Linked DNA regions of Nothobranchius furzeri. The protein of the gene in region 4 interacts with the protein of the main gene of each other region in a pairwise test. Links are inferred from orthologs where the notes say so. Each region holds a gene or a part of one and is shown on either strand. Other genes may lie near its edges. The genes, in order: mcm7, bfsp2, txlnbb, mbip, epb41l3b, ppfia1 and plekhf2.

What was found.
Region 1: the proteins of mbip (region 4) and mcm7 interact in binary tests that used the Homo sapiens proteins (3 or more experiments, as listed by UniProt). The two-hybrid records come from large-scale screens. The link is inferred for Nothobranchius furzeri from reciprocal best matches to the Homo sapiens genes MBIP and MCM7.
Region 2: the proteins of mbip (region 4) and bfsp2 interact in binary tests that used the Homo sapiens proteins (3 or more experiments, as listed by UniProt). The two-hybrid records come from large-scale screens. The link is inferred for Nothobranchius furzeri from reciprocal best matches to the Homo sapiens genes MBIP and BFSP2.
Region 3: the proteins of mbip (region 4) and txlnbb interact in binary tests that used the Homo sapiens proteins (3 or more experiments, as listed by UniProt). The two-hybrid records come from large-scale screens. The link is inferred for Nothobranchius furzeri from reciprocal best matches to the Homo sapiens genes MBIP and TXLNB.
Region 5: the proteins of mbip (region 4) and epb41l3b interact in a two-hybrid assay, tested with the Homo sapiens proteins (2 studies listed by BioGRID). The two-hybrid records come from large-scale screens. The link is inferred for Nothobranchius furzeri from reciprocal best matches to the Homo sapiens genes MBIP and EPB41L3.
Region 6: the proteins of mbip (region 4) and ppfia1 interact in binary tests that used the Homo sapiens proteins (3 or more experiments, as listed by UniProt). The two-hybrid records come from large-scale screens. The link is inferred for Nothobranchius furzeri from reciprocal best matches to the Homo sapiens genes MBIP and PPFIA1.
Region 7: the proteins of mbip (region 4) and plekhf2 interact in binary tests that used the Homo sapiens proteins (3 or more experiments, as listed by UniProt). The two-hybrid records come from large-scale screens. The link is inferred for Nothobranchius furzeri from reciprocal best matches to the Homo sapiens genes MBIP and PLEKHF2.

The regions. Positions count from the first base shown.
Region 1 is NC_091741.1:79,972,029-79,976,600, reverse strand, and holds the start of mcm7 (DNA replication licensing factor MCM7), read right to left. Parts: upstream 2,808-4,572; 5' UTR 2,697-2,807; coding exon 2,666-2,696; intron 2,267-2,665; exon of another isoform or gene 1,474-2,266; intron 995-1,473; coding exon 915-994; intron 691-914; coding exon 526-690; intron 425-525; coding exon 300-424; intron 228-299; coding exon 47-227; intron 1-46. Other genes in the region: cohesin subunit SA-1, read right to left, coding at 3,530-3,580, 3,779-3,866, 3,956-4,057. UniProt on the Homo sapiens protein: Acts as a component of the MCM2-7 complex (MCM complex) which is the replicative helicase essential for 'once per cell cycle' DNA replication initiation and elongation in eukaryotic cells.
Region 2 is NC_091751.1:33,757,036-33,761,539, reverse strand, and holds the start of bfsp2 (phakinin), read left to right. Parts: upstream 1-1,603; 5' UTR 1,604-1,820; coding exon 1,821-2,258; intron 2,259-2,337; coding exon 2,338-2,420; intron 2,421-2,734; coding exon 2,735-2,891; intron 2,892-2,977; coding exon 2,978-3,139; intron 3,140-3,270; coding exon 3,271-3,402; intron 3,403-4,504.
Region 3 is NC_091758.1:20,072,607-20,077,058, reverse strand, and holds the start of txlnbb (taxilin beta b), read left to right. Parts: upstream 1-1,460; 5' UTR 1,461-1,583; intron 1,584-4,195; 5' UTR 4,196-4,234; coding exon 4,235-4,452. UniProt on the Homo sapiens protein: Promotes motor nerve regeneration. May be involved in intracellular vesicle traffic.
Region 4 is NC_091758.1:21,132,725-21,136,635, forward strand, and holds the end of mbip (MAP3K12-binding inhibitory protein 1), read right to left. Parts: intron 3,398-3,911; coding exon 3,300-3,397; intron 1,435-3,299; coding exon of another isoform or gene 1,420-1,434; exon of another isoform or gene 1,297-1,419; intron 1,095-1,296; coding exon 1,056-1,094; intron 977-1,055; coding exon 869-976; 3' UTR 632-868; downstream 1-631. UniProt on the Homo sapiens protein: Inhibits the MAP3K12 activity to induce the activation of the JNK/SAPK pathway. Component of the ATAC complex, a complex with histone acetyltransferase activity on histones H3 and H4.
Region 5 is NC_091751.1:43,055,890-43,060,386, forward strand, and holds the start of epb41l3b (band 4.1-like protein 3b), read right to left. Parts: upstream 2,812-4,497; 5' UTR 2,649-2,811; exon of another isoform or gene 2,465-2,648; intron 2,425-2,464; 5' UTR 2,384-2,424; intron 1-2,383. UniProt on the Homo sapiens protein: Tumor suppressor that inhibits cell proliferation and promotes apoptosis. Modulates the activity of protein arginine N-methyltransferases, including PRMT3 and PRMT5.
Region 6 is NC_091749.1:65,289,409-65,293,721, forward strand, and holds the start of ppfia1 (liprin-alpha-1), read right to left. Parts: upstream 3,028-4,313; 5' UTR 2,887-3,027; intron 753-2,886; coding exon 483-752; intron 1-482. UniProt on the Homo sapiens protein: May regulate the disassembly of focal adhesions. May localize receptor-like tyrosine phosphatases type 2A at specific sites on the plasma membrane, possibly regulating their interaction with the extracellular environment and their association with substrates.
Region 7 is NC_091745.1:67,587,040-67,591,350, forward strand, and holds the start of plekhf2 (pleckstrin homology domain-containing family F member 2), read right to left. Parts: upstream 2,875-4,311; 5' UTR 2,229-2,874; exon of another isoform or gene 2,212-2,228; intron 1-2,211. UniProt on the Homo sapiens protein: May play a role in early endosome fusion upstream of RAB5, hence regulating receptor trafficking and fluid-phase transport. Enhances cellular sensitivity to TNF-induced apoptosis.

The DNA.
Region 1 (4,572 bases), on a different chromosome or scaffold from region 4:
GATAATAATCTTACATCAAAACTTGAGTGGTTTTACCAGATCTTACTGGTTGGTAGGTTTCAGCACCACACTGGTCACACGTGTACGTAGCTACAGCCATCATCGGTTTGACCTCGGTGGCGCGGGTCACGATGCCTCGGACTGTGACCAGATGGCCAATGCTGTCAGCCCGGATATCACGCACCACTTTGGGTTTTGAGGTGCTGGAAGACTTGAAGTAGAGCTCACTGCAGAAACAAGCCACTATAGTGAAAAAAGCCCCAACACACAAGGAAAATTACGAATCTGGTTCTACTCACAATCTCCTCATGAGCTCAGGTGGGTACTGGTTATGTGGATCTCTGGTGTCGGCCGGATCACGACCCCTTTGCTCCATCATCAGCCTGTGCTCAATGTACACGTCCAGGGAATCTTTGGCCACAATCTAAGCACAAAATGTATCTTTTTAGAATTCCTTCAGATAAAAAATCTGAAATGCACTGGAAGCGGATTTAAAAAATGTACTCAAAACTAAGATCTACATACATCTCTTTCCTTGTATTCTGGCAGCAGCTCGTGTATGGCGTCAGCAAACAGGTTTGTGTAGCGTTTTGCATTCTCACAGATACTCTCAACCAGATCTGGGTCTTCCTCAGCCACATCTTCCAGCTCAACAACCAGGGACACCTTCTCCCGGTGGGCCAGCTGCACCTGAACACACAAAACAAATAATTAGTCAAGCTTCAGAAAACAATTACACATGTGCTTTTGTGAGAAAAAAAAACAAAAAAACAACAACAAATGACTACGATATAGAACGACGAGACAAAAAAGAAACAACCTAGTTACAAAACACAAACTAGTTGTCAAAGCAGGAAGATAAACAGAATTACATCACAAAACCTCTTTCCGTAAAAAGCATTCACTATACTCACAAGTTGCACTCCATATTTGAACACCTTCTTCCCATCGTCATCCTCCGTGTAAAACTCCTGCAGAAACCTTTTGCACTTCTCTGAAAACAAAAACACAACAGCTCCACTTTACAAGACTAAATAAAAAGGCCACGTTCACATATGTCCCTTTCCTAAAATAGCAGTATTAAACCCAACAGCAGAGGGCCTGCACACTGGGAGCTAGTTTGTTGTCCTACGACGAGCCCCCCTTTGTTGAGTAACACGGCATCCTGTAATCTCGATGAGTCACTATTGCTACAGTTCAACATAAACTGTCACTGGGGCTCAACATGGAGCGAATGTCGCTCATGTGAGTCTCGTCTCCTAGTTTTAGAGTGAAATAACAAGTACTACGCAGCGTATGGCCCCGGGGTGGGAACGTAAACACAACAGGCGCGCTCAGTTCGGTCCTTTTTTCCCCTTCCTCTGGTAAATATCCCCCCTCACTTCTCGAAGGAGCCACAACTACCAACGATATTTAACTAGGCGCCACGGGCGACGGAACAAGCCTTCGAACTGAACTTAATATTCCACTTACTTTACCGCCGTAGAGGAAATTTGCTGCGTCGTGGGGTTATTTCCATGTTCGAGGATGTTATTGTAAACAAAGCAGCACATGGCTTTTGTGCCCAGTCACTGGAGATATCCCTCCGCGATTCCTCCGCTCCTAGAACCAGTCCCGGTTGTTGTTTTCAAACCGTGGCCAGCCATTTTTTAACATTAGCCCAGGTTAGCTTAGAGTTGTGAACGCAGCAGCTGCGCTGCCTTTTCTAATGTCCTGATGACAGAATCACTAAGCGGCGAGAGGAGGTTTGCTTAATGCTTACCACGAGACGTTTATGACGACTAAGAAATTGCTGCTGGTTAGTGCGTTCGCTGAATTAGACTCGGAACACGACTACGTTCAGGAACTACGCGTGTATACGATTCATTAATACACCACATATTGCTACAGAGCCCTTCCAAACCCATGTGAGTGATCAACATAAACCAAAGCTATAATCGTTTATGCTGAAAACGAATAAGCTGGAAGCAAATATCAGTATTAAAATTCATTTTAGCTAGTAACGAAAAAGCTAACAGCACTGTTCAACCCTGTAAAATCAAAATATAGCCCAGACGGTGCGTTAACGGACACTTGACAAAAAGTACAACATAGTTGGGTGAAGGATTTTCCTTTACTTCCCGACCACATAGATTACCCCTAAACTAAATCATTTTATTTTACACCGACACACGTCGACAGCATAGAGTATAACTTTGCAAAAGTAGTTTTTGAAAGGTCCGACTGTCTGCACTCGTTCCTTGACTACTTATGTACTCTACACGTCTTGATAGTGTGCGCGTTCCCGGATGTGCTTGCACAGTGGCGCCTGTTTCCTTTGTTTAAGGATCCATCCGGGTCACCGGGTAGTAAAGAGCAGACAACGCTAAACTGGTTACCGACGACCCAACGTTAACAAACTCACTGTGAAATACTTAACTAGTACTTCCATTACATCGCTGCTAAATGACGCATATTCGTACACATATTTAAAATGGTAATTTTCTATCTAACTCAAATGGCAATATTTAAAAACGCTAGTGACGTAAACTACTGAAACAGGACATGAACATGTAATTCAACTCTGAAAGACACATACTTCATATAGGTAACATTTATTAAGACTTTCAGTCCAACCTGTTGCTACCACCCATGCTGTTACTGACACACACAGACAACTATTTACCTTTCTCTGCCAGATAATCTTTACGAGCCATGGCAGCACACGTTGATGTTCAGGCGAATAACTTGAAAACGAGATCTTGAGGTGCCCACGTACCTAAACGAGGTTTTTACTTAAGAGTTTAGCAAATTTCTTGCACCGGAGACTTGAATTCATTCACATGCAGCCAGAACTTCTCCCGGTCTCAAGAGTAGAAACTGGCGCCACTCTCCTCGGCCAGCAGCAAATCACGTCGCATCTTTCACGAAGTATGGGCGGGACGTTTTGGTGGCGCGAAAATCGCAGGAAGCTGCGTGTCACATGGTTATGAAAACTTCCGCCGGGGTTTTCCACTAATGGCGCGAAATGTTCTAAAGACAACACAACTCATCACAATGGGTGTTATTTATTGTATGTTACACACAAACAACTCAACACGTTAACAGCAGAGTGCATGCAGACACAGGCTGCTTTGAAACACTCATCAAAAGTGTCTCAAAAACGGAGTAAAATGATGATCAATTTTGGAATGAATTGTCACCACTAACTCGCTTTTCCATTTTATTACAGACTTCGAACCGATAATACTTCACTTTTTATGAACAATTATATAAAAAACACATCAACAAAGCAAAAATGTGTTCAAAATAGGTAGCTTTAGCTTTCATTCGGATAACTGTACTAAACATTTTTAATATCAGTTTTTGCTTTTCATCAGAACATTAACAATTCAATCATTTAATGGCAAACTGCAGCAAGTCAGATAACATGAAGATAAAGATGTAGTCACAGGGATGAACAGGTGGCTGAGATTTCAATTCATGCAAATACTTCAAACACTGATAACATAAAAATGGCATCTGAAAATGGTGGAAGCGTTCCAGTACATCACTCAAAGAGCTCATCCAGGAAACTGGCAGAGGTGTGGCGTGTTGAGGGCTTTAGGGGGAAAATGGAGAGACTGACTGTTTAATCTTACCAGGAATACAATTATTTTATTCACATAGTTTTAAATCAAGTCTTCAGACTGTATTATAACTCCACAAATCCCAATTGAACTCAGATCTTCAAAGTTTTCCTTTATCCAAATCAATCCTAAATTACTAAAGCTAAGATCTATCAGTATTGCTGTTTTACCAGTGTGTATCCAGACTCCAGGTCACTTTCATAATCTTCAATCTCAGGCTCCTCTTCTTCTGAAATGTCATCCTCTATCAGAGAAAGCCTAAGTGGCAAACAGATTAATTAGCTTGTTTAAGAGTTAAAACGTTATTCACAAAAACCATCTTCCCTTTAGTTCTAGACCAGTCTTACATGGTGAGGTGGGAATTCAGATCCTCCTGCTCGTGAGGGGGTGCAGACTGGGAGGAAGAGGCTGTTCCTTGCTTGGTGGGCCTCACATTAGGCATCTGTGACCTAGTGAACATCACAAGGTAAATGGTCTGTATTTGATATAGCACCTTCTAGAGTCCCCCCCAAGGCACTTTACAACACAATCAGTCATTCACCCATTCACACGCTGCTGGTGTGAAGCCAAAGCTGCCCTGGGGCACAGACACAGGCGAGTGCCATACACAGGCACCACCGGTCCCTCCGACCACCACCAGCAGGCAAGGTGGGTTAAATGTCTTGCCCAAGGACACAGCGATGGACTAAGCAGGGCTCAAACCTGCAACCTTCCGATTACAGGGTGAGCACTTCTGTGCCACTGTCGCCCTGTGTGTGCCCCGTCTATACTTTGTTATTCCTGTAGACTAACTGACGATTTAATACTTATAAAAAAATCTGTAATGCTCAGTTATATCTCAACTGTTGTCAGCGACTTAACTAATTCAATGCTGACATTGATTTATTTTGTGGACAGACAAACATAATATTTGATTTAAAATGTTCATCAACTGTTTCCAAAACTCTGAAAGGCAGCAGATGCA
Region 2 (4,504 bases), on a different chromosome or scaffold from region 4:
AGCCAAGTGCTGGGTGGGAGAAGGACCGAGGGTTAGGGAGTCTGACCCGGCATACTGGGTTAAAATGACCCAACTGGATAGTTAAAGCTACCCAACAGCCTGGGTTATAACACAACTCTACAATAAGATGTCATTGTAAACAGTAAAATACAAGATAAATAATTCAATATAGAAAAAAAATGAACACAATAAAAAAGTCATGTCTCCATTCAGATGTTCCTCCATGTTTGTTACAGTCTGAGCAGAAGGGGAAAGAGAAAGAAAGACTAAAAATGCCCTTAAATGGTTGTGGAGCCAACAGACTCAGGCTGGATGTGGTGGCAGGCCTTGTGAATCTTCAAGCTCACTCAGGTGCAGATAAGAACCAGCGGCAGCTGCAGCAGCATCCTGTCGGTCTGTGAAACCAGACGTGTCTCGTCTCTCTGCATGATGTAACTATAAGATATGAGGCGCCATCCGTGGAGACCGCAGATGTCACGTGTGAGCAGAGAGGACGCCAGTCTTCTGATGCCGACGCCACAAGACCCAGATGCAGGAAGCTGACCTCAGATGACCCTTAGCATGGATGGATGAAATGAGCTAAATGACATGTGAGAAAAGAGGAAACACAACCTGGTCCTGAGATCAAAACGAGCGGAGGTCAGAGGTCACGTTCCATGAGCTGCTTTTCTCTCCTCACATTAAATCTGGGATTATCCCGAGTCTGGATGTGTGTGTGTTTGTCAGTATATGTGTGTGTGTGTATTTGTGTGTGTGTGTGCGTGCGTGCGCCATGCGTGCGTGTGTGTGTGTGTGTGCGTGTGCGTGTGTGTGTGTGTGTGTGTGTGTGTGTGTGACATAATGACCTGACCTGTGTTATTTACTGCGTGAAGGTCCTTGAGACGACTCTGGTCATTTGGAGCTGTAGAACAAACGGAACTGAACGTGTGGACTGGTTGACCTTTCACTTGTGAAACTGTCTGAAACCTAAGTAGAAGCTGGAAACTGCTGGTGGCTGCGTTAGCGTTCACCACTTCCTGTCAACAACCTCAGCATCTCCTGTAGCTCCAGAGAGCTGGAGGGTACGGGGCTGGATCTGTGGTCTCCTGGTCCAGTGGAGATGCAGGACCACGGCCCCAAGGCCAGCACAGCTGCTAGAGTTACCACAACTACCAGGTCTCTCATGGGGGCTGAAGGGTGAGCGAGTCAGCGGTCTGCAACCTGTGGCTCTGGAGCCACAAGTGGCTCTATGAACCTTCCATTTTGGCTCTTGATGTGAAAAATAAAGTAACTCTTGTTTTTAATATAGTTATAATAAAAAATGCAGGTTTAGTCAGCTTAATTAAGGACTAATTTGACTGAATTTAATAACAAAAATGACACTTAAAGTACTTGTTTTATTTGTAAATCTATCTATGTTTTTGTTTTAAATCATTTTCTGCAAATAACCACAGAAAAAACACCCATGTTCTATTTTAAAGTATTTTCTACTTTAAAACCCACCAATAGAAAACAGAATTGTGCATTTTGAGCATTTATGGAAGAGGGAAAAAGATTTCAGAAATGTGATTTTAACCTCAGAGTGTTGCTTCTGTTTCCATAGATACTGCAGACCTCTGGTCTAGATGGTGTCCATCAGCCAGAGTCTAGAACACCCCTCCCCCGCCCTGGTGCTGATGCAGCTGAATCATGACTCCATGTTTCTACGGGAACAAAAGCCATCAGTCAGCTGCCGCACAAACAGCTCCTGAACAAAAGTAGCTATGTTTCTAGAAGTTCAGTACTCCATAAATCCCGGTGGTGAACAGATCTGAGCCGTTTGACTTTGGGACCTCAGCGCCATGCCTCTGGCCAGACGTCGCTCGTCCTTCTTGGGACAGCCAACCGCTGATCGCCCAGTGTCTATCCCCTGTGGTAGGATGGGCATATCCAGTACCAGTACACCCCATGGAGTCTTTGTAGGCCCCACATCCTCAACTACATCTTCTGGACTGGGAACACGAGTGTCCCGCAGGGCTCTGGGAATTAGCAGTGTGTTCCTGCAAGGAATGAGGAGTAGTGCCACACCAGTTGTGCCTCGATCTGGGGAGTGGGCTACAGGAGGTGGAGCAGCAGCAGGCCTGAACAGCTCCCTGATGGAGTATCGAGACAAAGTGAGAGCGCTGGAGCAGCTGAACCAACAGCTGGAAGAGCAGATTCGCCTCTGTCTGGACCGAAAGGCCTCCAGTGCTGGGGCCTGGGGTCCGCTCAAGGCAGAGTGGGAGGACATTTACAGGCAGGTAAGGATGGGAGGAAAGGTGAGGGGCTGAGGGAGGACAGAGGGGGTGTCAACACTCTGCGTTCCTGTGTTCTCTGCAGGTCAGCGAAGCCATCCTGGACAATGCCCAACTGATGCTGCAAACTGAGAACGTTCAGGCTAGCGCCGAGGATTTCAGGGAAAGGTCTGACAGTGTTTGATGTCAGCTGATCAATCAGTTTGAATGTCCATAAGAGCAGCTGCAGTCTGAAATTCACCTCCTCCAGAACATCTCCTCTAGTCTGGCAAGCCAGACTAAATAAATGTAGTATTTAACTTTGCAAAGCAAGAATTTGGTCTAGTTGACTAGGCTACGTCTCCTTGTCTCCATGACCTCCAGTCTGCAGCTTCAGTCAGACTTAGCTCATTTGCTCTCAGACAGTGCCCCCTGGAGGCTGAGAGGAGGTGCTGGAATGTGCCTACCTGCAGGAGGAGTTGGTAACTTGTTGCTCTTTGCAGGTACGAGACTGAACAGCCCTTTAGGAGGGCTGTGGAGGAGGAGATCAGCTCCTTGTGCAGAGTGATTGAGGAGGCAAACATAACAAAGGCGGAGCTTGAGGAGCAAATGCAAGACATGAGGGCGGAGCTAAGGTCTTTGGAACGCAGCCATGAGCAGGTTGTATCAAAGACAGAAATTTAGGACAATGTTTTGCAGCTGGGTGTCAGATCCCTTCGCTTACCTTCAGTCACCTGTTGATGCAGGACGTGCGCGCTCTTTACAACCAGATGGCTGGACGGGAGGTGGACGAACCTGACGCACCCATACAGACTAGTCTGGACCAGATTCTGGCCTACATCAGGAGCCACTGGGAGAAAGTGACAGAGAGGAACCGAGCTGAGACCGACAGCTACTTGGAGTGTAAGGTAAGGATGAGACATCTGTAAGGTTACTTCACAAGTGTATCTAACCTGTGTGTGTGTGTGTGTGTGTGTGTGTGTGTGTGTGTGTGTGTGTGTGTGTGTGTGTGTGTGTGTGTGTGTGTGTGTGTTTTCAGCAGGAGGCACAATGTGTGGGTAGCAGCTCGAGCCCAGAGGAGGAGCAGGTGGAGGCACTGAAGGTGGAGTGTGGTGATGTTGGCTGCAAAATCCAGAGTCTTCAGGCCGAGACGGAGTCCATCAGAGCGCTGGTGAGACACATGAACGCTGACCTGGTTGACCACCTCATCCATGACTAGACCAACCAGGTCATTAACTTACAGCTTTATTAGTCCACTGACGGCTGACCCATAAACAACAAAAACAGCGATGTACTCAAATGTGACCCTAACCCGTCTCACTGCCTCTGTTCATCACCCTAACCCGTCTCACTGCCTCTGTTCATCACCCTAACCCGTCTCACTGCCTCTGTTCAGCACCCTAACCCGTCTCACTGCCTCTGTTCAGCACCCTAACTCGTCTCACTGCCTCTGTTCAGCATCCTAACCCGTCTCACTGCCTCTGTTCAGCACCCTAACCCGTCTCACTGCCTCTGTTCAGCACCCTAACCCTATCCCGTCTCACTACCTCTGTTCAGCACCCTAACCCGTCTCACTGCCTCTGTTCAGCACCCTAACCCGTCTCACTGCCTCTGTTCAGCACCCTAACCCTAACCCGTCTCACTGCCTCTGTTCAGCACCCTAACCCGTCTCACTGCCTCTGTTCAGCATCCTAACCCGTCTCACTGCCTCTGTTCAGCACCCTAACCCGACTCACTGCCTCTGTTCAGCACCCTAACCCGTCTCACTGCCTCTGTTCAGCACCCTAACCCGTCTCACTGCCTCTGTTCAGCACCCTAACCTGACTCACTGCCTCTGTTCAGCACCCTAACCCGTCTCACTGCCTCTGTTCAGCACCCTAACCCGTCTCACTGCCTCTGTTCAGCATCCAAACCCATCTCACTGCCTCTGTTCAGCATCCTAACCCGTCTCACTGCCTCTGTTCAGCATCCTAACCCGTCTCACTGCCTCTGTTCAGCACCCTAACCCGTCTCACTGCCTCTGTTCAGCACCCTAACCCTATCCCGTCTCACTACCTCTGTTCAGCACCCTAACCCGTCTCACTGCCTCTGTTCAGCACCCTAACCCGTCTCACTGCCTCTGTTCAGCACCCTAACCCTAACCCGTCTCACTGCCTCTGTTCAGCACCCTAACCCGTCTCACTGCCTCTGTTCAGCATCCTAACCCGTCTCACTGCCTCTGTTCAGCACCCTAACCCGACTCACTGCCTCTGTTCAGCACCCTAACCCGTCTC
Region 3 (4,452 bases), about 1.1 Mb from region 4:
CAAAAAAGAAGCTAAATGTCCACAAATTGTTGTTGTTTTGGAGCAGGCACAGCTAACAGCTAGCCTAGCCTAGCGAACTGGAAATCCCTTTCAAACTATAAATTTACAAATATTTAGTAGGAAAATACATTATAATAAACACAGATTTGCTTTGTGTTATTACAATTTTAACAAATAGGTACTGAAACAAAAACTGAACATAAGTGAACGGGGCTGTCAAAGTTATTTCCTGGTCCGCTTTAGCTTACGCACTGAATCACAAATATGTTTTACTTCAATTTAAATGATAAATAATTATGTGTTTTGACTATGTCTGTCACGTAATTTGAGATTTATTTGCTTAAAAAAGTCATAAATAAAAAAATTACAAAGCAGAAGTTGCAAACTTGCAAATATGACGTCGGCGCAGAATCTCATCTCCCTAGCGTAGCTGCTACTTTGCACGTGGCCAGATTTATAACCTTAACTCTGAAAACATATTTTTTATTATTATTTCTGATCAGTCACTAAGTTATGCTGGCTGAACATGAAAATAGTCTCCCACACATATGTCCTGCTATGGTGAAACAAGGATTAGAAAAGCCAGTCAGTGTTAGAGGTGCGTTGCTGTTAAGTAATCTGAGGTAAAATGTCCAAATGTCAGAAAATAAGACAGCTGTGATGAGGCTCACTTTTGGTTCCTGGAAATGCACCGGTGCCCCCCCCCCCCCCCCCCCCCCCCCAAAAGATGATTTCAATTTTAGATATGGTATATTTATTTCCCCACGTTTAGAAAATGGATTCCTACATCAAAGAATTAAATTAGACATTGGGCCCTGTCAACAGATATTAATCTCATATAATCAGAAGGAGGAGAATTTTTTGTGGTCTGTTTATTACTTTTTACAACGTGAAATATAATTATTGAGAGTAATATTCAGTTTCAATGGTGCTGAGCTGGATAATGATGCTGGATTATCTCCCTCCCCAACTACATCGGTCTCTCATTATCATTCCACCTGTGCGGTTCACAACTGTTTAAATTAGAGCCCATCATTCACTTTCTGTCTTTAGGGAGGCAGAAAAAAAATATCTCCAGTGTGAAACTTGTAATAGCTACATCTGGTGGCGAAAATTGAATACTGCAGCTGCAGCGTGGAGGTAAAATAAAATGGGTGCTTCCAAAAGTAGTGTTCACCTTGTAGATAGTTTTCAGCCGCTTTCAGAATTTAACTGTCAGCTCAAAATCAGCAGATTGTGTAAAAAAATAAAAAAAACTGAAAGAAAGGCTTATCAGGCCAGTCTGAGAAACAGCGTTTTCTCTTCTCTCCTGCTCAGTCTCTTTTCATGACTAATAGGAGCGAAGCTTAAAATTAAATCAGCACTGCGTTGATCTAAAGTAGCAAAGGTGCAACACCAAATAACGAGTTTTACTCTGAGGTTTGCAGCAGAGATGAGCTGCAGAGCGTCCTCCCTCTCTGAGCAGTGAGCTGCTCTCTCCTGGTTTATTTTGAGGGGCTCTTATCACAGCTGTTGCATCAGTGGTGGCCGCCTGTCCGAGCCCCTCCACACTCTTTCTGTTCCCCATCTGGCCCTCAGTCCTGGTAAGACCCTGCCTGCTCTTTACCCTGCTTCTTTTCTGATATTTGCACACAAATAACATAGAATTCTTGGTTTCCTAACATCTGTCTCACACGTCTAACAAACGTGGGACTGACTCCAGTGGCGGTTTGGAGTTTGCCAAGTCTGTTGAAGATGAGATGCTGTTAATTGCAGTGAGACTTTCCTGCGTCATTTGCTGTCAGAAGTTAAAATTGTCTGCTGGTGAGAGAAAAGGGAACATTTTAACCTCTAATGAAACGCTGCATAGTTAAAAGAGTTTTCCTACACATAGCTCTGTAAAATTTCCATTTTAACATGTACTTCTTTATAAAAGCGTTAAAAGATCAGAGATATTTGTCTTTATTTGAAGTTTAACCACAATAAAAAGATGTTTTCAAGAAACACTGACCCTGACATAAAAAAAGAGTGGAATAGAATTAAATAATAAACAACATGCCCATATTAAGAAGTTCCTAAAATAGCTTGTGGGTCTGGAACAGGTGCCATTTGCTCTTCTTGTGAAAGCTAATTATATGCATCTAAACAGGCTCTGGCTGCGAGTACGACTCCACAGATACAAGCATGATGGACTTTACTACACCAGGAAAGCTTTGTTCGGGTTTATCACCTCGCTGCTGCAAAGACATTGAAATTCATATAAAAAAAAGGCATTCAGATATTTCATCTAGAGCATTATTTGGTGCGTATTTCTGTTTCTGCAAAAGAAATGTGCACCAAAGTTATGTTTTTAGTCTAATAAACAAAAACAACTTCAGCAGCATAGAATATTTAAATAAGAAAAGCTTCTTGGTGGTGGAATCTGCTTAATTCTGATTAATCTGTTATGATTTCACTCAACAATATGTATGTGAAATCTCCAACCAGTTTTCTCTGTAAATCTTGTTAGGATCTGCAAGGTGCTCAAATGGAGGAAAAACACTTGATATGAGGTTTTTAGACTGAATTTCAAGGTGTTGATTTTAATGTCAGGTTACATAGTTGAAGATTTCTTTATCATTTAAGTGCTGCTAATTTAGGCATCAAACACACAAAAATTCAGGCTGTAAATGTACTCGTTGTTGCTCTTAAACATCACAGGTTTGGATACTGTAGCTGTTGTGGATAGCACTGAACAACCTCAGTTTGGAGAAGCAGAGATGAGTTCTGACTGGACAAATGCTGATCTCAGTGGGGCAAGTCACAGACTGATTAGGAATATCTCAAAAGCCTCACAGTAGTTAGTGTGAATTAACTACATAAGACTCTGGTGGTTTGCAGCAGAAACTAGCTGCTTTAGCATTTCTGAAATTAAATGCTTAAAAGGCTACGGTAGACCAGCTTGTTTGTCATACCAGAGATAATTTCTGTTCCTCTTAAAGCCAGGCGTTCTCATGTGAGAATCTTTGAGGTTGAGGCGAGTTTGGTGTTGTGTGTCCAGTAGTATACAGGGATTACGAGAGGCGATTAGCACCGCACGACCAGCTCCCAATCAGTAATTGCACAAATATCAAACATGTTTGATATTTTCCTCATCCCTCGTGAGGTTATCACACTGTTGGAACAGCGCTGCGAGCCAAAAGTACCAGAACTGCTCACACAGCGCATGCACCAACACGGCTCGTCAGCTATTTTCGTATCAACTCAAGCTGTATTACTTATTTTTATACTTTTCTCTACACACAGTGACAAGGATTGTCAAGAAAGTGTGTTTTATGCCAAATAAAACATTGTTTTACTTCCTTTCTTTTGTCTTCCTTCTCAAACCCCCATAAACCCCATGTTGTCCTTCTATGGCAAGCCCGAAGGATAACACACATTAATAACATAGTTTGAATATGTTCATTTTTCCAAATAAATGCTGAAAAAAAACCCACCAGTAACAACACAACAGGTTTTAGAAATCGAAAGTCTGACATGTTGCGTAAAAACGACTATTTGTAGCATATTTTAGCTCCGATGTGTTGCTAGCACACATACAGTGTGAACAGTACAGTGAGAGAACATGTGAGCTTTGCTCTGCGAGGAAGTCATCCAGTTTGAGATGGAGCTGAATGCTACGAGTGAAAGCCACACAATGTCCACCCGTCCTAACTGATGTTGTCCAAAAGGCTTTATGGAGGATGTAAGATATTCATTGCTTTTGGCCTTTTAAGAGAAACACTTCAAAAAGCGGAACCCCCGCTTTTATGATCTTTTATGGTTTTCTTTCCAGTAAACCACTTTTAAAGTGGCCTAAATTGTACAAATAAATCAGATGTGGCTACACAAACTAATTGTCACGGTGTAGGAGGTGGAGATGATGGACCGCTAATTAGGGAAACATGGGCAGGTAAACGAGGGACAGGTGAGAACAATAAGGGCAATCACGGCAGGAGAGGAACACAGTCAGGTTGGGCAGGGGCAGATCGTGACACTAATATTAAAAAATCCTAACATGTTTTTTGTTTGTAATGGGGAGACTGTTTCTATAAAACCTCAGATATGATGTTTAATTCAACGATGAAAACAGATTTTTTTTTATGTGAAAAAGTGATCAAAGCATTTTTGTTGTGAGATAACAGACAGAGCAGCCGTGATCTGTCTGTAAATGATTTATTTTTGGTCTCTCGTGCAGAGGCAACTGTCTCCTTTGTGTTGCTACTAGCTCAGAATAATGGAGGCTTGTCAGGAGAGCAGCACTGCCCCCACCGGTCCCGAGGCATCTCCGGTCGAGGATCACCACATCGACCTGACAGAAGACCTGGGCCAACAGCTGGAGGACATCATTAGCACCTACCAGGCAGCCCCGAATCCAGCTGAGCCAGAGGACACAGAGGTCACAGCTGTCAAAGAGTCAGACGCCCGCAAGGACCAGAAGCTGGAGAAAAAAAT
Region 4 (3,911 bases):
TAATCCAGCAGTCCTTCAGATCCTCTCATAAAAAAGAAATATGTAATTATTCCTTCAGTCAGTGGCTCAGTTAAAACTCCATGCAAAAGGCTTTTATGTACATGTCACAGTGTCAAACGCAGCGGCGTCCCATTTAATGCTGGTTTGTTGGGTCTCCAGTATGTTTTCCAAACAGTTGCAGTAATCAGGTCATTTGTTATAATGACAACCATTAGGGCTGATCATCGTCACACAGCAGTCGGGAGGAGAAATCAGGTGCTCTCTCAGGGCTTCATCACCATCACACACACACACACACACACAATGAAATCAGTCTATTAAGATGTAATTATTTAGAGGGACACAATTGCTCATTTTAATGATATAAGGATTGAAAATGAACATTTCATAAACTAGCTTTTAAATTTTTACAGTGAAACTGTAAAACTGTAAGTTGGGTATTTTTATATTTAAACGTTACCCACTATGTGCCTGTAAGGAAAAATATCAGAAAAATCCTAATTTAAAGTATATTTCCTTAATATTGTCTCTAAATGAACAGATTCCAGGTTTTTGAGCAGGAAAAACATTTATTTACACAAGAAATATTTCTGTACAAATGAACAAGATCCCAATGAAAGGTTGTTTAATATAAATGAGATGAAGCGTCAGACTGTTTTATTACACATGCTGGTTTATAAAAACTCCAAACTAAAAGCATCAGTCAGCATTTACATTAATCAGAATACAGACACTGTTGCTGTTTATAGTCTAAGACAAACTAGATCTTTGCACTGGTTTTTACTGGAGAACTGTGATAACAGGTGAGGATAATTAAATAAAGCACATTTAATTCCAGAGTAACACCTCCGGCGTGTCTGTCTGTGCATCAGAGCGAACAATCGGGGCCAAATCTGGGTCCAAACTCACTCATCCTCTTCAGCAGCGCTGCCTTCACCGTGCTGATCTTCTCATCCAGCTCTGTCAGACTACAGGCCTGAAATAAAAACACGAGATCAGCTGAGCTTTCATAACAAAATAATAACAAAAGGGAATAAAAGCAGGAGGACGCAAACCTGAGCAGGAGACATCTTTAGTCGCTTGTGTAGATGTGTCTGAAACATAACCAAACATTTCAACTCAAGCGCTTTCTAAACGGACTCAGAATTCTAAACATTTTATAAAAGAAGCAGAAGACTTAAAGAAATTCTGATTTATTTTGCTCTTGTTTGATATTATCACAATAGAGGCTGTAAACGGAGCTGCGGGGGTTAGAATTCAGGGAACGACCTTGGGTAAACCTGAACTGCCTGAAGAACCATCATTTAATCCCACTGCAAGCACAAAACCCTCCAGTATTCCTTATGGAGCCGCGCCTCGCTTCACTGCCGAGTATTAGAATGTTGTTCCTGAAATCCTGGGCCAGCTGAGTGCAGCTTTTCAGCAAACACCAAACTACAGCGAAAAAACAAAAAAGAGAGAGAGAGGGAGGGAGGGGGATTCAAACATAAAAGACCCCCATCTTCATCCGTTTATTCAAAGACACTCGACATCTCCTGCTCTGCTCACACAAACATGCAGTGAGTCAAAAGCAGATGGAGAGCAGCGCTCTCACAGAAGCAGCGTGCTGTGCTGAGAAATACCAGTATGAAGAGATGCGCAGCAGCTCAAGCACACTTAGCTAGCTAACACACTGGACAGGCTGCTTTAGTTCACTAAATTAGAGTCTGGGACTCTGGTGGGTTCAGCATCAAGTCCAACAGCAGAGCCACACAATGGATCTCTGCAACTAATCGCCATTGCGTCGGACTCATTTGTCCCCCGTGACCTAAATGTGTGTCAGAGACGATCATTAATAAAGGGATAATCCAACACCCCCAGGCTGCAGCTGCAGGTGACAAAAACATTCACTAAATAACTGAAAGGGTTCTTGGGTTCCTCACACACGTCACTGAAACTTCAAACGTGTTCAAAAATGTTTTTGTCAAAACAGATTTTCTCTCTAATTAGAGGCAGATCTGTCGCAGGAAACTGGAATTTGTCTCGATGGGCAAAAGAAGAGAAACAACTTGGGTAGGAGTTTATGTACAAATGAAGATTTTACCTCCTATAGGAGGCCGACTTCTTTCAATGTAACATTTGATTCTATTCAACTTAGACTAGTTTTTTTTCAGAGCCCCGGCTTCAATACCAAGTGTTAAAAAGACATCACGACATAATTTTAGAAAAATATTCATTTCCTTAAAGCATTTGAACCACTAATGGTTTAAAGAGCAAGTCATCCCCAAATCAACTTTTTTTTCTGATAAACTATATAAATGCATGTCTAATCGTGCTGCAGACACATGTAGTCAACAGTTTAGCACTTTAGTGCATCTTAGTTAAAATTTAAATTTTCTGCCTAAAACTGTCAATGTTGTGCCGTTGTCAGGTAAAAACTCTGCACTGCATTTGAATTTAAATCTGCCATCGCTATTGGCTAAGAGGTACCCTAGGACGTTAGCTGGTACCATATGATGTCACAATGTCGTTGTGAGCCTGTGTGCATTTGTTAGTGGCTCCGCCCTCTCTGTCTGCTAGGCAACAGCATTTGTTGCATTTTTCAAACAGGAAGTGGGAGTGAAGTAATACTCTGGTAGGGGGTGACTTGCTCTTTAAGTTCATGAGCCCCAGATGAAAATAAAACAGCAAACCAAAGAAAAGCTCAGGAAGGTAATTAGAATACTTAAACTGAAACAAGAAACTTTGCAATAGTTTAAACTTTTTTGTAGTTACATCAAATACCTCGTGTGACTCAAATATAACTAAAACTTCTCACATAAGTGTAGCAGTTCAGTGGACTCTACCTAAAACAGCAGATATTCTAACTACTTATTACCATAGAAGCTCAAGATCACCTGTTGTTGTCTCTAAACCTAAAACCTGTTCAGACTTAAAATTTGCTTCAGGAATGTTGCATCAATGTACTATATATCTCCCTCATTCCCACATTATCACATTCAAAAACAAATAACTCACATAAGTTAAACCACCTAAAGGGCGGTCCAGACATCGTCTTTTACAAAAAATGACCAATGAAGTAAAAGTTACGGAGAAATGGAAGCAAACTGCTTTAGAGGTAATATCTGTGAACGTCAGGGGAGGCTAAAAGTGCTCCAAGATGAAGATTTGCACAGAATAAAAATCTAAGAGAGCACTGGTTGAATTTGCATTGAACTACATTATGTGAACTGTCATCATTTAAGTTTAGTTTCTAATGCAGATCTCTGTGCTGTAATGTTATCTGAAAAAGCTTTGTGTGTTTAATCCAGAAGACTCACCGTGGACTGAAAGTACTCAGGAGAGAGTCCCTCCAGCTCCAGGATTCGATCCTCCAACGTCTTCAGTCGCTGGTAGACGGTCAGAGGAACCGGACCCACTGAGGAATAAAACATAAATATAATATGTTCCATACACCAGACTGGGAAAAAAAGGACTAAAACAAAACCCAGAAAATAGGGAGAGAAATCATCGTGTGACAAGATTCTCCCCAAAAATATGTACGTAGTTATCATCTGGTGTTTTAAATCAGCCAATATTCAACATGACAAGGTGATCAGTCAACCCAGCACCTGAGAATCAGATTTTCCCCCAGTTTGTTCAAGTTAAAGACAAAAAAAATAAAATCTGTTTTTTTTTTCCTAGTCCATGAACACACCATCACTATCATTGGTTGGTTAGAGTAGTGAAAACTCAGAAATCAGTATCGGCCATAAAAATTAGAATCCGTGCATCTTTGAGTGTGATTAACTCTTTTTTGTGTGACTTAAGAAAAACATCAAGAATTTATGTTCTTGTTGATATTTTATAAAAAAAGGTGCTCATCATGTCACAATATCTATATTATTTGTATTGTACAGTTTTATTCAGGATGTGTGACGCATCACTTGTCT
Region 5 (4,497 bases), on a different chromosome or scaffold from region 4:
CACAAAATGGCGTACTTGGACCAAAATTGCAGACTTCCTGTGGGATATTGAGCATGGCTTCAAGAGGGTTTTTTGTAGGTCCTGAGACATTACATAAGTGTGCAAAATTTCACAATCCTCAGTCAAAGCATGGCTTGGGGCTGGCACTTTTAAGGGTGCTAGGGGGCGCTATTTCAAAGAATTGGCCACCCCTACTAATTTTTGATGTTAAATTTCATTACGAATCATACTAGGATCACTAATGAGAAATTTTGTGGCGATAGCTTTAGAATTGACAAAATGAGAGGCAAATCGTATGGCCATGGCTTTACGCCTGACTTCGCCGCGCCATCACAGCCGCGCTGTCTTTCGAAAGCTCCCATAAAGTGAGGCCAGGCAACCCCAACTTGTCTCCAGTTACCTGCTATAAGTTTGTGGTGAGTATACAAAATGGTGAATTTTGGGAAATTTCATAGTAAAACTTGGCCTTTTTAGTCTTGAGGGGGTGGGGCTTGTGTGACATCATCAATCCACCATTCAATTTTCTTTGGGGGACAATGAGAAATGTCCATAAAAAACTTTAACTGTAATTCTTTCATTTATGAAATTATAGCCATTTGAATTTTTTTGACGAGTGCTCGAACTTCGAGGCCTGGCCCCGCCCCTTCAGTATTTACGAAAAGTCAATTTTATTTTCTCATTTCAACTGTCCATCCCTTCTGATCGATCGCACACTATTTTTGAGACGATTGTGCGAAAAATTACCAAACTGTTCAACCAAATACTGACCCTACAAATGACCAAAACGAGGTCAAAATCGCTACTTTAGCCCAAAATGGCCGACTTCCTGTTTGATAATGACCAGGGTGCAAGAGGCTTTTATGTGCGAATTGTTGAGTTCTACAAGTGTACCAAATTTCATCACTCTACGATAAAAAAGGGTCAAAGCAGAGGGGTATTTTTAATTTTCAAGGGGGCACTGTCGAGCCACTTTTTTAGCAACCTTCACATCGCCATTGAAATACATAAATTTCAGGCACGTTCTGTATTGGGATAGAATTTGGTGAGTTTTTGGATATGGTAAGACCCCCAAAAAGCCATTTGAAGGCGCGGAAGAAAAAAAAAATAAACAGAGCAGATATAATAGGCCTTCGCAGCTTCGCTGCTCGGGCCTAATAAAGAGTATATTGGTAGATTTTATTAACTCAATCAGTGAAATAGGGTCAAAAATCTCATAAATCTGGGAGAGATGATTGTTTATGATTGCATATCTAATGTGGTATCACCAAAAGGGATGATGTGAACAAATTTATCACCTGTGAAACAAAGTTTTGCCCATTTTTAGATCACTGTCACTGAGACAAAACAGAGATTTATCTAATCAGCTCAACAAATGTTTTATAAACAAACTGGATTAACAATCACAATCTGGTTTAATGCTTGTACAAAACATTTGGAAATTAATCAAGTGAGACACAATATAAGAACTAGAAATTGTACAGATTAGCAGCACTGAGAGCACGCTTAGGATGACAAACAGCTACTTATTTATCTCTAAATGTGCTTGTTTTTAAAATAAATATCAATACATCTGTACAGACAGGAAGAACAGTTATAAAGACGGCCGGCTTCATCCAGATATGACCTCTCTGGCACGTTTTCTGGACTTTGTCATTGGACGCTGGCAGTATAAAGTCCAGCACGTTTAAAATCTCCCACTTAAACCTTAAAACTTTTACTTCGGTTGTAAAAATGCCACTAAATATAGAAAAATTTGGTAATTTAGAGGATTTTTGACAACTAAACCCCCAAATGTCATGTTAAACTCCAACAATGAGAAAACAGAACCATCAGCCTTCTTATTTAGCATATAAAAACACAACTGTCAAGATAAAACAGCCTTTGTTGAACTATCTGGACCCACATTAAGCTCCATGGTGATGCTGTGAGATATGCTCATGAAGGAGAATATTACAACAAAGAGCTCTTCTTTCCCTGATTCACTGATGCTTCAGTTTGAGCAGACCCCAGAGGAAATCCACGCTGTGACAACTTCCCATTTCTGAAAGGTCAGCCTGTGCCCAGCACCGTTTTCTTTTAAATGAGGTATTTCTGCACCAGGGTTTTAGAAAAAAGGATAGCATTGCTGTCTCAGCAGTGAGAAGCAGAAATTGGTTAAGATACTTCCTGAGACAGAAAATAGAAAAGTTGATAATGATTATACACGTTTGACAGGAAACAATCAGCACTTTTAAAGAGACTTTATCAGATCGTGGAGCAATTAGTTTGTTTTTAAAATAAATCCATTTTAAAGTCACGATTAATTAGTTAAAATTAAATAGTTAAAAGAAATATTCCTAAAGTGTATGTCACTTTAAAAATCAGCCTTATTCAAAGTGCTGACCAAAGATGAACGGCTGCACCAAACATGTTTAAAATGTGAGTCTGTCATATTTCCAGATTTTTAATAAACACGTGAACTCACCGTTTCGTGTCCCATGTCGCCAGGAAAGCAGCAGGTGTCACGTTCAAAGCCGGGCGATTTAAACGGAAAAACAAATGAACCCAGATGTTAGTTTTATGCTAATGCTGTCAAAAGTGCTCAAACCCACTCGCGTTTTAGCTTAAACGAAGCGGAAGCAACACATAAGTACGAGTAAACACTTTACCTGAGCCCGCGGGGACACAACACCTCCCAGAACACCAGCTGTCACCGAGTTGCGTCACCGGACTGACGAGGAAATCCCGACGCCGGGCTCGTCCGGGTATAAAGGACCGAACACCTGTAAGAGCTCGCTTTGGTAAACCCCTCTACAGTGTGCTAAACCCCGCCCCTGCCGCCTGAAAAACCAGGCCCAGTTGAACACCTCCGAACGCCCAAAAAAAAAAAAAAACCCGTCTCAAATAACACAGGGACACTGCCACCCACCGGTGGCCCGCGGGAGGACACGCACCAGCAGCAGATAATCATCTTTATGTCACATGACCACAAGGTGGCCGAGTGAGGTTAGATATTAAGGCAGTCCGTTGCAGCATATAATCAAATACCTACCATGTCTGTTGTCTTCACGTTATCAACATCTGCGTTTCCTATTGTCAAAATTACATTTCCTAAGTCAAAAGCAAAAATTTGAAAAGTAAATTTGCAGATTTAAGAATGTAAATTTAGTATAAAATGCAAATGTCATCTTTTAATTTTCACAAAGAAAATCATTACTTTTAATTTGCTGTTTTTCATCTGAGGCTATACTATGGTGAAGGTAACTCTAAAAGAGATATAGGAAGTATGCAAACAATGAACAACATTTGTTAGGGAATGTTTTAATACTTTTATATTCAAACACTCAAATGCATTTTACTTTTTGTAATTTAGTTTATGTATTAGGTTGAATAAAACAAAATGTAACAGACATCAACTTGTTGCTTAATTTTCTGAATGTACCAATTCAATGCATTGCTAATGTACTTCTATTAAAAAGTATTTGCAAAAAATAACTAACTGCACATTTTGTATCAAACCATCAAATAAATATAGACTCCATTGTTAAAATAAACTTTAAAGCTTCCTAGCTTTGTTGAAAATTGTTGAGGTTGACCAAAACGAAAGGCAGAGTTTAATAGAGAAACAAGCAAATGTCTGAGTACAAACCATTTTGTGAAATGGTATATTTATTTGTAAACAAATGATCTCATTTTAAGTATAGTAATGGGTTACTTCACCAGCATCATCACAGGCCAAATGATTTCTCAGGATATTTGTATTACTTTAATTCACCACCAATCTAAATGAGCTAACTGCAAAGTGTTGTAAATTACTCTGATAACAGTCTGCTGCTTTCAGTTCAGTAAGCTCATGACCAACATGAAAGGCCAACATAAACAGTGTATCAACAGGAGCCATTACTTCAGTGCAGATTAGGATCTGTGCAAATTTAAAGGAATTGGTATACATTTGTTGAAGTGACATACTTTGCAGTACTTCTGCATATTTTGCCTCTTATAGAGAGCAGAGTGGGCTCAGTTTAGAGAATCAGGGAGAAATTATTTAGGTGGACTCAAGCTAAGAGCTGTTTAGAGCAGGACTGGACTGGATGGCACGTTTCCAGACTGAATTTCTTCCACCAAAAACAGCTAAAATAGAAATATTCCTGAGCAGTTTGAGCATTACCTTTCTATGAGCAACTGTTTATTTTTTATACTTACTAATTTCTAAACTAAGCATCTGTTTTTCTGTGTATTGCATGCAAATAGGCTAATAGCTAAAGCTAATAAAACCAAGTGATCCAACAAAGAATGACTTTTCTGGAGAGCTGCAGAAAAATCTTCTTGCACAAAATTATCTAATTGTCCAAGTAAGTGGACTGTGTGTCTGTGTGCTTATCTGTCTGAGGTGGGGTTTTTTTCATAGCAAAGCTACCCTCTCTGTTGAGCGTAACTCTGAGGTGTCCCCCCCCCCCCCCCCCCCCCCCCCGACTTTATCCTCATTTAAAACCCTCTTGATCTATTACGGTAGCGCGA
Region 6 (4,313 bases), on a different chromosome or scaffold from region 4:
TTATTCTAATAAAGATGGGTGATCTGCGGGACAGGGATATATTTTGATCCAAGTTTCAAATGAGTTTAAGGAGGAATGTCCAGATGAATATGGGAAACACTTGAAGGTAAGTGTTGCTATGGCTGCAGCGCTGCCTCAGTTATAGTTGTTTATAATGTTCAAATGAAAATCCACATCTATGTTTCACCGGCTTCCAGCTGCTTTAAGAGTTCAAACCAGTTTCCAGGATTTCCCTGATTTAAAAACAATTACCATAATTATTTATGTTTATGCTCTTAAACAACCAGGTTGCACGAATGGGTTAGCAGCAACTAAGAGCAGTGGTGATTACACAAAGTGAAATAATGAACCGATTTGAAAATTCTTATGTTTCATGACCCAAACCCAACACCAATAAGGTTTGACAAGAGAAAACAGGAGTTTAACCTTTAAATGAATGACTATTAATGATGCAGGTATGCTATTTCTGCATAAGGACTGACCTGAGGTAAGGCAGTGTTCAGCTGCCGCTGCAGCGAGTCTCTTTCATGGCTAACTTCATGCAGTTTGCTCTGGGTCAGGCCCAGATTCTCCTGAGTCTCTCTCAGCGTGTCCAGAAGGCGATCCCGCTCCTCTAACATGGAAACCATCAACGACTCAAAGTGCCCTTCAGAGTCTGACTGCAGAGGAGAGCCGGAGCCTCGGCGCCCAGTACCGTTCCCCCCACCAGGCCCTTCGGCCTCGCTGATTGTGGGCATCACCTCGCACATCATCTGCAGCCAGAGGTAGAGAGAAATGACAGAATTAAAGTTTGAAGATGAAAATCTGGAAGTCAAGTCAGGTGATTGGCTGCTTCTTTGGTTTTTGTATCTTTGAACAACTTAAGTGTCAGATGTTCATTTAAAAACGTGACCCTGTGGGTTTGAGGGGCCTTCCGTCAGAGGTCGCGGCTCCAAAGCCGTTGCTGCAGTTCAGAGACAGGTTTTCTCCATCTGTGAGGTTTGCCCTAATATATTAGATTAGATTATGAAAGTAAATTATGGCTGGAAAAAAATGGGAAAAGATTTTAAAAAAATAGTCATTGACTGTAAATTAGCTCACGTCCAAACAGCCGGTACAGGTCAGAGGACAAACTGCTCAGGCTGATAAAAGTTCTGGTTTAAAACCAACTGTTTTTACAAACCTGTCTGAACACATCCGAGATAAAGCATCACACAAGTTCAAAGGTCCAAATCTTTTAATCAGCAAACTTTAAAGACTGAGCAGAAAGGGTCTCAGCAGGTTGTTTCCTAAGCAGGTGGCTAAAGAAAATATCCAGTAGGCTGTTGGGATGGAGGGAAGCTTATGAGCCAACTTTAGGTTAACCCAAACAGGTGACCAATCAGAAACCTGGAGGTTTTGTGATTATTTCTACGCTGCAGCTACCAACCTCTACCAGCCTGAACACCAAGGGGCTTACAGTCTGTAGACCAAAGCCAGACACACTGCCCAGGAATCATGTGAGCTGGATTTAACACACCTACACGGAACAACAACCTAGGAATGGGGACAAGTCCTGTAGGAACTCTTGGAGAGCTAATATTTCCAGCAGTTGACTCTTCCAGCCGCCGAAAGGCTTCTTCATCTAGGATGCATCCAGCTGGGTGAACCCAGAGCTCAGCAGCACTCTGTTTGTTACATGCTAATTAACAAGACAAAACTCAATCTGCCATTCCTAATTAGCTCTTATCAGAAACAGCTAGTTTCATGTGATAAACACGGTTTCTGAGTTAAACTTAACCTAATTTACTGGAAGCAAAAATGCAGAACCAGTGTTGTCATATTGAGGTCAAGCCACTCAGAATCAGCTGTATGGGGGAGGGTCGTTCAGCATCAATGAGAGGTAGTGACAGATGGTGAGCAATTCAGGAGAGACACAAAAAAACTAGGGATAACAAATCGAAACCTGGATCAAAGACTCGGAGGAACAATTATCCTTAAATCCCTTTAACCAGTTATCAGTGTTCTTCATCCAGACCCGTAGGCCCAAACACCTCCGACTCTGACTCACAATCCCAAACACGGCTTCAAGGCTAAATAAACAGAAATGGTTTGCCTCGTATTTGTTTAGGCTTTTACATCAGCGATAGTAAACAGAAGTTATTCTTTAGTTTGAGTTCTGAAGATCATCTCGACCCCCGGGTGTAATACCTAGAACCTGTAGTAGCATCCCGACCCAAACTTTTGGAATCACTGACCTAGCCAACTGTTGACATCTAAGGTAAAGTTGAAAACTCTTAATTCAGGCCTCTTCCCTAGATTTCCCTCCCAGCAGTCAAACTCAAGTGCAGCCATTTTCCAAATCAACCTTTCTCAAACTGGCTGCTTTTTAACTTAATCCCAGTCCTCGTGGTGTACCATTTTAAGAACTTTTTGTTTATTTGAAACACAGGAAATTATATTCTAACAAGGTGATTACGGAAGAGCTCTCAGTCTGTGGAAAAATGGGAAAGTGTGCGATGAATGAAGTAGTTTCAGGTCTCTCATGGATCCTCCAGGTGGACATCTACCATAGGTCAGGATTTAGGGATAACAAAGTAAATGAATCAACACAACTCTGCTTCATCATTTGAGTTAAGAAGTATTTCATTAACTGCATAATTTATAGACTAAAGTGGTTTAATAAACTATGTGATGCCATTTCTTTGAGAATAGTCAGGAAGAAGTAAACAAACATGTTAAAGACCAACTTTAAAGGCCTGGAGAGGGGGGTGGGATTCTGAACAGTACTGGAGTTATTCATCATTACATCAAGATAAACCAAACTTGGATCATTCTGACCCAAACAAAGATGTAAAGTTCTGTCGAATTTACTAAAATAAAGTGACTGACAGCACAAAGTAACATAAACCATACTGTTGGACTCACCTTTGCAGTTTAGCGTTAATCCAAACTCTTTAAAATCCACGTTTTGTAAATGAAGTTAAACAAATCCAACAGCCTTCAGAGACTTCTGAAACATCCAGTCATTTAAAACATGTAAATCCCGTTCAGACACCAAGATTAAGGCTGAAATGGGGTCTTCTGGGAAGAAAAAACAGGATGATTTCCTTAAGGCCTCAAACCCACAAAGTGAGCAGGGGGTAGTATTCCCAAGTTTGGCCGGCTAACTTGGCGTTAGCATGCTAGCTGATAAGAGAGCTGGTGATTCGAAGATCGCATACCTGAATTTGGAAGTCAAGTGTTTATCTTTGCGTCACAAGACAAACGGCCACCGTAAAATATGAAGCAAAACTCGATAAAAGTAGCATTTCTTAACTGGCCCACGGGTGCTGATGGAGTCAGCTGACGTGGAAACTGTTGCAGCCTAGCTAGTTAATTTGAAACAGAAATCTTTGGCTTGAAGTCAGCTTAAAGTCGGCAGCTACTAGCCTGCTAGGTAGCTAACGCTCGCCAATTTAATTTAGTAACTTTTGAGCTAAATCTCATATAAAAGTACATAACATTATAGAATGTGCGACACAAAACGCACTATTTGATTTCTAAAACAATAAATCCCGAAGTAGATCTCCTGAGATCTAAGAAACCGATGTAGTGTTTGTCTCCCGGCTAGCGTTAGCTTCCCGGTGGAGTCTCGTCACCACATCCCGGCTGCGTTCCGTTCGACTCGGAAACTTCCAGCCAACACCGAGCTGTCTGCGACGTTCCTGGTCCGTTTGGGAAATCCAAACTTAAACATTCGTGGTTTATGTCCAAGTTTCAGAGGTTTCTTCGGTGTTTTCCACTTTAGCGGTCCGCGAGTCGTGTCCTTTGCCGTCGCCACTGCCTGCCAGCCTGGGCAGTCGGGACAGCCTGACGGTCTGCGGGAGGAGAGCGCTGCTTCCCGGCTGGCTGGAGGAAAAGGAACAGCAGCAGCAGCATTCCCAGTTCCTGTGGGGATCCGAGGCTCAGGTTAATAATCCTAACAAACATGCAAACTTTTTTTTTTTTTTGTAAATGTGGAGGATTTACACTTTGGTCCTAATGAACAAAGATGACAAAACTGTTTAGATAAACTAGAAGCGTTTATTATGTCGCTGCAAAAGTGAATTAATTTAAAAAAGTTAAAATAAGGCTTTGAAAAAAAAGATTTCTACAATCTAGGTATGGTTTATTTCAGCCCTAAACTCAACCCACTTCAAAACATTAAGTTTATATTAAATACGTTGATGTTAAAAACACACACAACATTTGTCTTACCAAAAGTAAAAATGTAATATTGGTAAAGTTTAAGAATTTTGCAGCTCAGCTTCTGTAATTGTGAAATTCTTCAAGACCAAGTTTATCGAGAAACCATTATTTACTTTTTTATATAT
Region 7 (4,311 bases), on a different chromosome or scaffold from region 4:
GAGGCATTTCCTCCGTTTCCAGCTCTGTCTCCGTTTTGCTTATTTTCTGACATGCAGACAGGGGGCTGCCATCTTGGAATCATGTGATCAGAGAAGGCGCTTCGATTGGCCACTAGAATAGTTCAGCTCAGCCGGCAGCTCAGTAGTGCGCACACGGTGAGTTTCTACCCCCCGTGAGGCGGAAAATATCTGAATGGTCAGATATTCGTCTCAGCTTCTTGTGAGGTGGAAAACTCAGTGAAAATCAGGTGCACACGGCGAGCAATCTGCTGAGCCAACGGTCATTCGAGGCCGTTTGCTCTGCAGATTGCTCTCGTGTGCGGCAGGCTTAAGATTCCTGAGAATGTTTTAAACATAACTGTGGGCATTCCTACCTCATTACGCAAATGAAGAGGATCACATTTAAAACTGTGTCATTTAAAATGCAACACATTGCAACAGAGGCTATGCTAGCTGTAGAGTAACATGCCACATCCTGAAAGACCACTGCCTTCATTTGTAAAGCTAGAATGCAAACAAACATTAAAAATACAGCCTGAAAATAAATTGGCTTTAATACAAGCATTGAAGTTTTAAAGTTTGAGTACATTTATTGATGTTTTTTTTGTCTGTTTGTTTTTTTGCATCTTCTGCTTGAACTCCTCTTTGGTGGTGGGGGTCTTGACTACTACTGGTAACAAAAATCACTGATTTCATTTTACTATTTATATATAATTTAGCAGAAATTACAGCGGCATGTTATTAATGCTTGCTGTTACCAAAGGTGCAATATGTAAGGATGAAGTAAGAATGACATTCTGTCACCAGATTTAGGCACTGCAACCCATTTTTAGAAACAAAAAGCAACTCTCACTAGAAAAACTGTCATCTATTTTAAAAGCTTGTTTTCCCCAGAAAATCTTGTTAATTTTTTTTATTATCTAATCATTTGTTACCATGTAAAAAAAAAGTTGAATAAAAAAAAAAGAAAATCTCAACTAGGGAAGAAAATGAAATGGATTTCATAGGGCTCTAATTTTACTACTTTAGATCCTTAAAAAATAGAAAGTTAAGCTTGTCCCCCTCTGACACTGGTGCGGGTGTAAATATTTTGCAATGTTGTGTTTTCATCTATGACTGAACGACAGCTTGTCTCACCTGGTTTCATAATAATCTTTGCAATAATGTGAAGTCACAGAAACTTAAAAAAGAAACTGAATTTGAAAGAGAAGTAGAAAATTCTATAAGAAAATATATAAATAAGAAAAATGCTACAATTTTTAATAGACACATACTTTAAAGAAATGCAAACTTAGAAAAATTAAGGGGAAAATACAAAAACAAATGAACTATTTCAATCTAAAACAATGTTGTGTGCAATAGATATCAAATAAGTTTTATTTTTATTTTATTTTTTTACATTTTATGTTTAATGTTTCACTCTTCTTTGAGACAGTGTTAATGATTTAAATAGTATTGCTCTAACCTAAAATGTGTGTTGCTGTAAACAGATAATAAACTCAATACCACGGGGACAGAATATGTGTAAATAAATGTTGCTTTATTATGCCCTCAGTCATCTGAAGCTAATGGAGATTTTATGCACTTAGACACAATGAAGACATATCAAACTTCCCTTTTTTGTGGTAGAAAACTCGAGTACACACGTCCACAACTGTGTTGCGATAAGGTGGACTCCCAACTGCCCGAATAGTTCAGTTTCCATTTGTTACCATTAGCCAAGACACATTGAAGTTAGTAGTTTCTGCCCAAGTATTTCCACCTAAACTGTTCAAGTGTTTCCAGTCTGTCCAGCACTTCCACCAATTATTGAACGTAATTATTCCACAAACAAGTTAAAGTCTTATTATCAATGCCTCACGTCTCAAAGTTCAATTTACTTTTCAACTTTTTGTCCAAGTTGGCAAAAGAAAGTGGTGCCCGTTGGCAGACTTAGCTAGCTAGCTCAGACGTTAGCTTCCAAGCACTTCATACATTTTACTTTAAAGCTAATCTTCACTCTTTTTTGTTCGGTTTTGAGTGAAAAAGCGGTTCCCAGTTTCGATAATCGATAAACATTTAGGAGAAAGGAAAAGAAAAGCACCCACACAACGCGGGCTTTTACAGGCTATTAACATGAATGAGGAAAAAGTAGCTGAAACCCACGGAACCAGCTTTAGCCAAAGAGTTAAAGTATCATCAGTCAACTTATAAACCCAAAGAACTACATACCCGACGGTAGCACTCACTGTGAAATAGCTTCTGCAATAGATCTAAAGTTCTGCTGTATTCCAGGTGATATCGGTAAAGTAGTAAGTCTGCCTCGAGAACTGACCACTGTGTCCGCAGACACCGACAGCAGCTGGAAACTCCGTGGATAAAACAACAACATGGCAGCGTTAAGAAGATGCGTTCAAGGGCAATCTAATGGCTGGTAAATCCGAAGTGAAGCTGTCTGTTCTGAGAAGCAAATCATTGCTGTACTTTTATTTGGGAAGTCATATTTTTGACCTATTTCGAAAGAAAAATAATCTTTTCCTTCTTCCAAGTCGTGTAGTGAAGTAGTTCGTTTTTTTGATTATTCCAAGGGACAGTGAAGGCATCATGAGCAAGAACAGAAGCCAAGTTTTTGGGAGGAGACCTGCCTGGGGTTCAAAATAGTAAACAAGATGGTACATGTTGTGGCTTTGTAGGAAAAATGCACTGACACCTTAACAAAAAAATGAAGAAAATAAAGCACAACGGTTTCCATAGTGTCCACAAACAACAGGAATGGGAATAAACTCCCCATAATTTACTTTCCCCCTCTTAATGCCTGTGGCAGCAAAAACTCTACCCTTAAGCTAGGACGCTGCTCATCTGCATCCAAACATTCAAAATTCATTTAATTCAAACTTTTAGGGAAACACTACTAGATTTTGGCTTTCCCCTTTAAAAACTGAAAACATTTGCACTCATTAGTTGTTTAGCACCCAACTCTAGTTCATAACACATGCTGTTGTTTTAACCCCATCATTTTAAATTCCTGGATTTAAATCTCAGTTTTTATCAGCAGAGATGGTCTGCAAGTATCAAATTCATCAATACAATACACAACATAAGTTGAACATACATTGCATTATTATTTTTTATTTATTTTATACTTTTACAGGCCAAATCTGCTTCTGGATTCATTAGTTTTTGGGAACTATTTTAAAGCGTGTAGAGCACATTTACAGTTGGATCATTCACCACAAACTAGATCTGAGTCTGTTTGCTTCCTAAAACTGGAAGACGGTGCTCTTATCAGTTCATCCAAACACCCAAAGAGAGTCAATGTGATTATTCACTTGCATCATCAAAGCTCTTAAATCTGCACCGAGACACCGGAGGAGATTAGATTATGCCACGATGCTTAGAGCAACACTAATCGTGTATTAGAAAACCACTGTGACCTTACAGGGTTGGTCAAATATCCCAACACTTCAAATGAATGAGTCCGAGAATATTTCCACACTGCTGGAATGTCAGAGAGTTTGGTGAAGGGTGATAACAATTTATTTAATTACCCAAAGGAGAAAAAAGGAAGTCATTCACTCTCTAAACCAAATATACATGCTCTGTTTTGGTTTGGTTTTACACCACAACAACTCCTTTGTTTAATATTTCTTTCATCACAAGTAAAATTCTATTTCTTTGACCTAACGCTGCTTTTCTTCTATGTTGGGTTCATCCAAATGTACCACACACCAAACGGATTACTTGTTGTGGAACATTAGCTAAAATTAGAATATCCCAATTTTTGGAAGTGATTATTTGCTCCAAAGTTTATTATAAACCTGTTTGTCATTTTATACATCACCTTGCACTGTTTTCCATTTCCCCTCTGCTAAAAAGCTGTTTCCATCATTTACAACCACCCTCTACTGATGACTAAACATGTGGCCTTTGGTTCACCTCCGGTTAACTGAAAAATGCCTCATGGAGGAGTGCAAATCTCCTCTTTATGTAAAAACTAAGTAAATTCACCTGCATGTTGCTGGTATCAAATAAAAAATACCAATATTTTTATTTAAATACTTATTTCTATGCAATTAAACTTTTATTTAAAATAAGAAACTAGTTAGTGTTGGCTTCAGCTGATGTGTACACTTTTCATTCTGACCTTTTTTAAAGGTTTCTAGCAATTTATTTAAATTTTTTTCCAGATTTACTTAATGACAGGTTGAGCCTTGAAACAACCAACTCTCTCCGTGTGAATGCCAGTATTACAGAAGCAGAGAATATTCCCATCACCGCAGGGTTTCCACCCTAATCCATCCCGAAGCTCATTTTTGTTTTTTCTCATGTTCC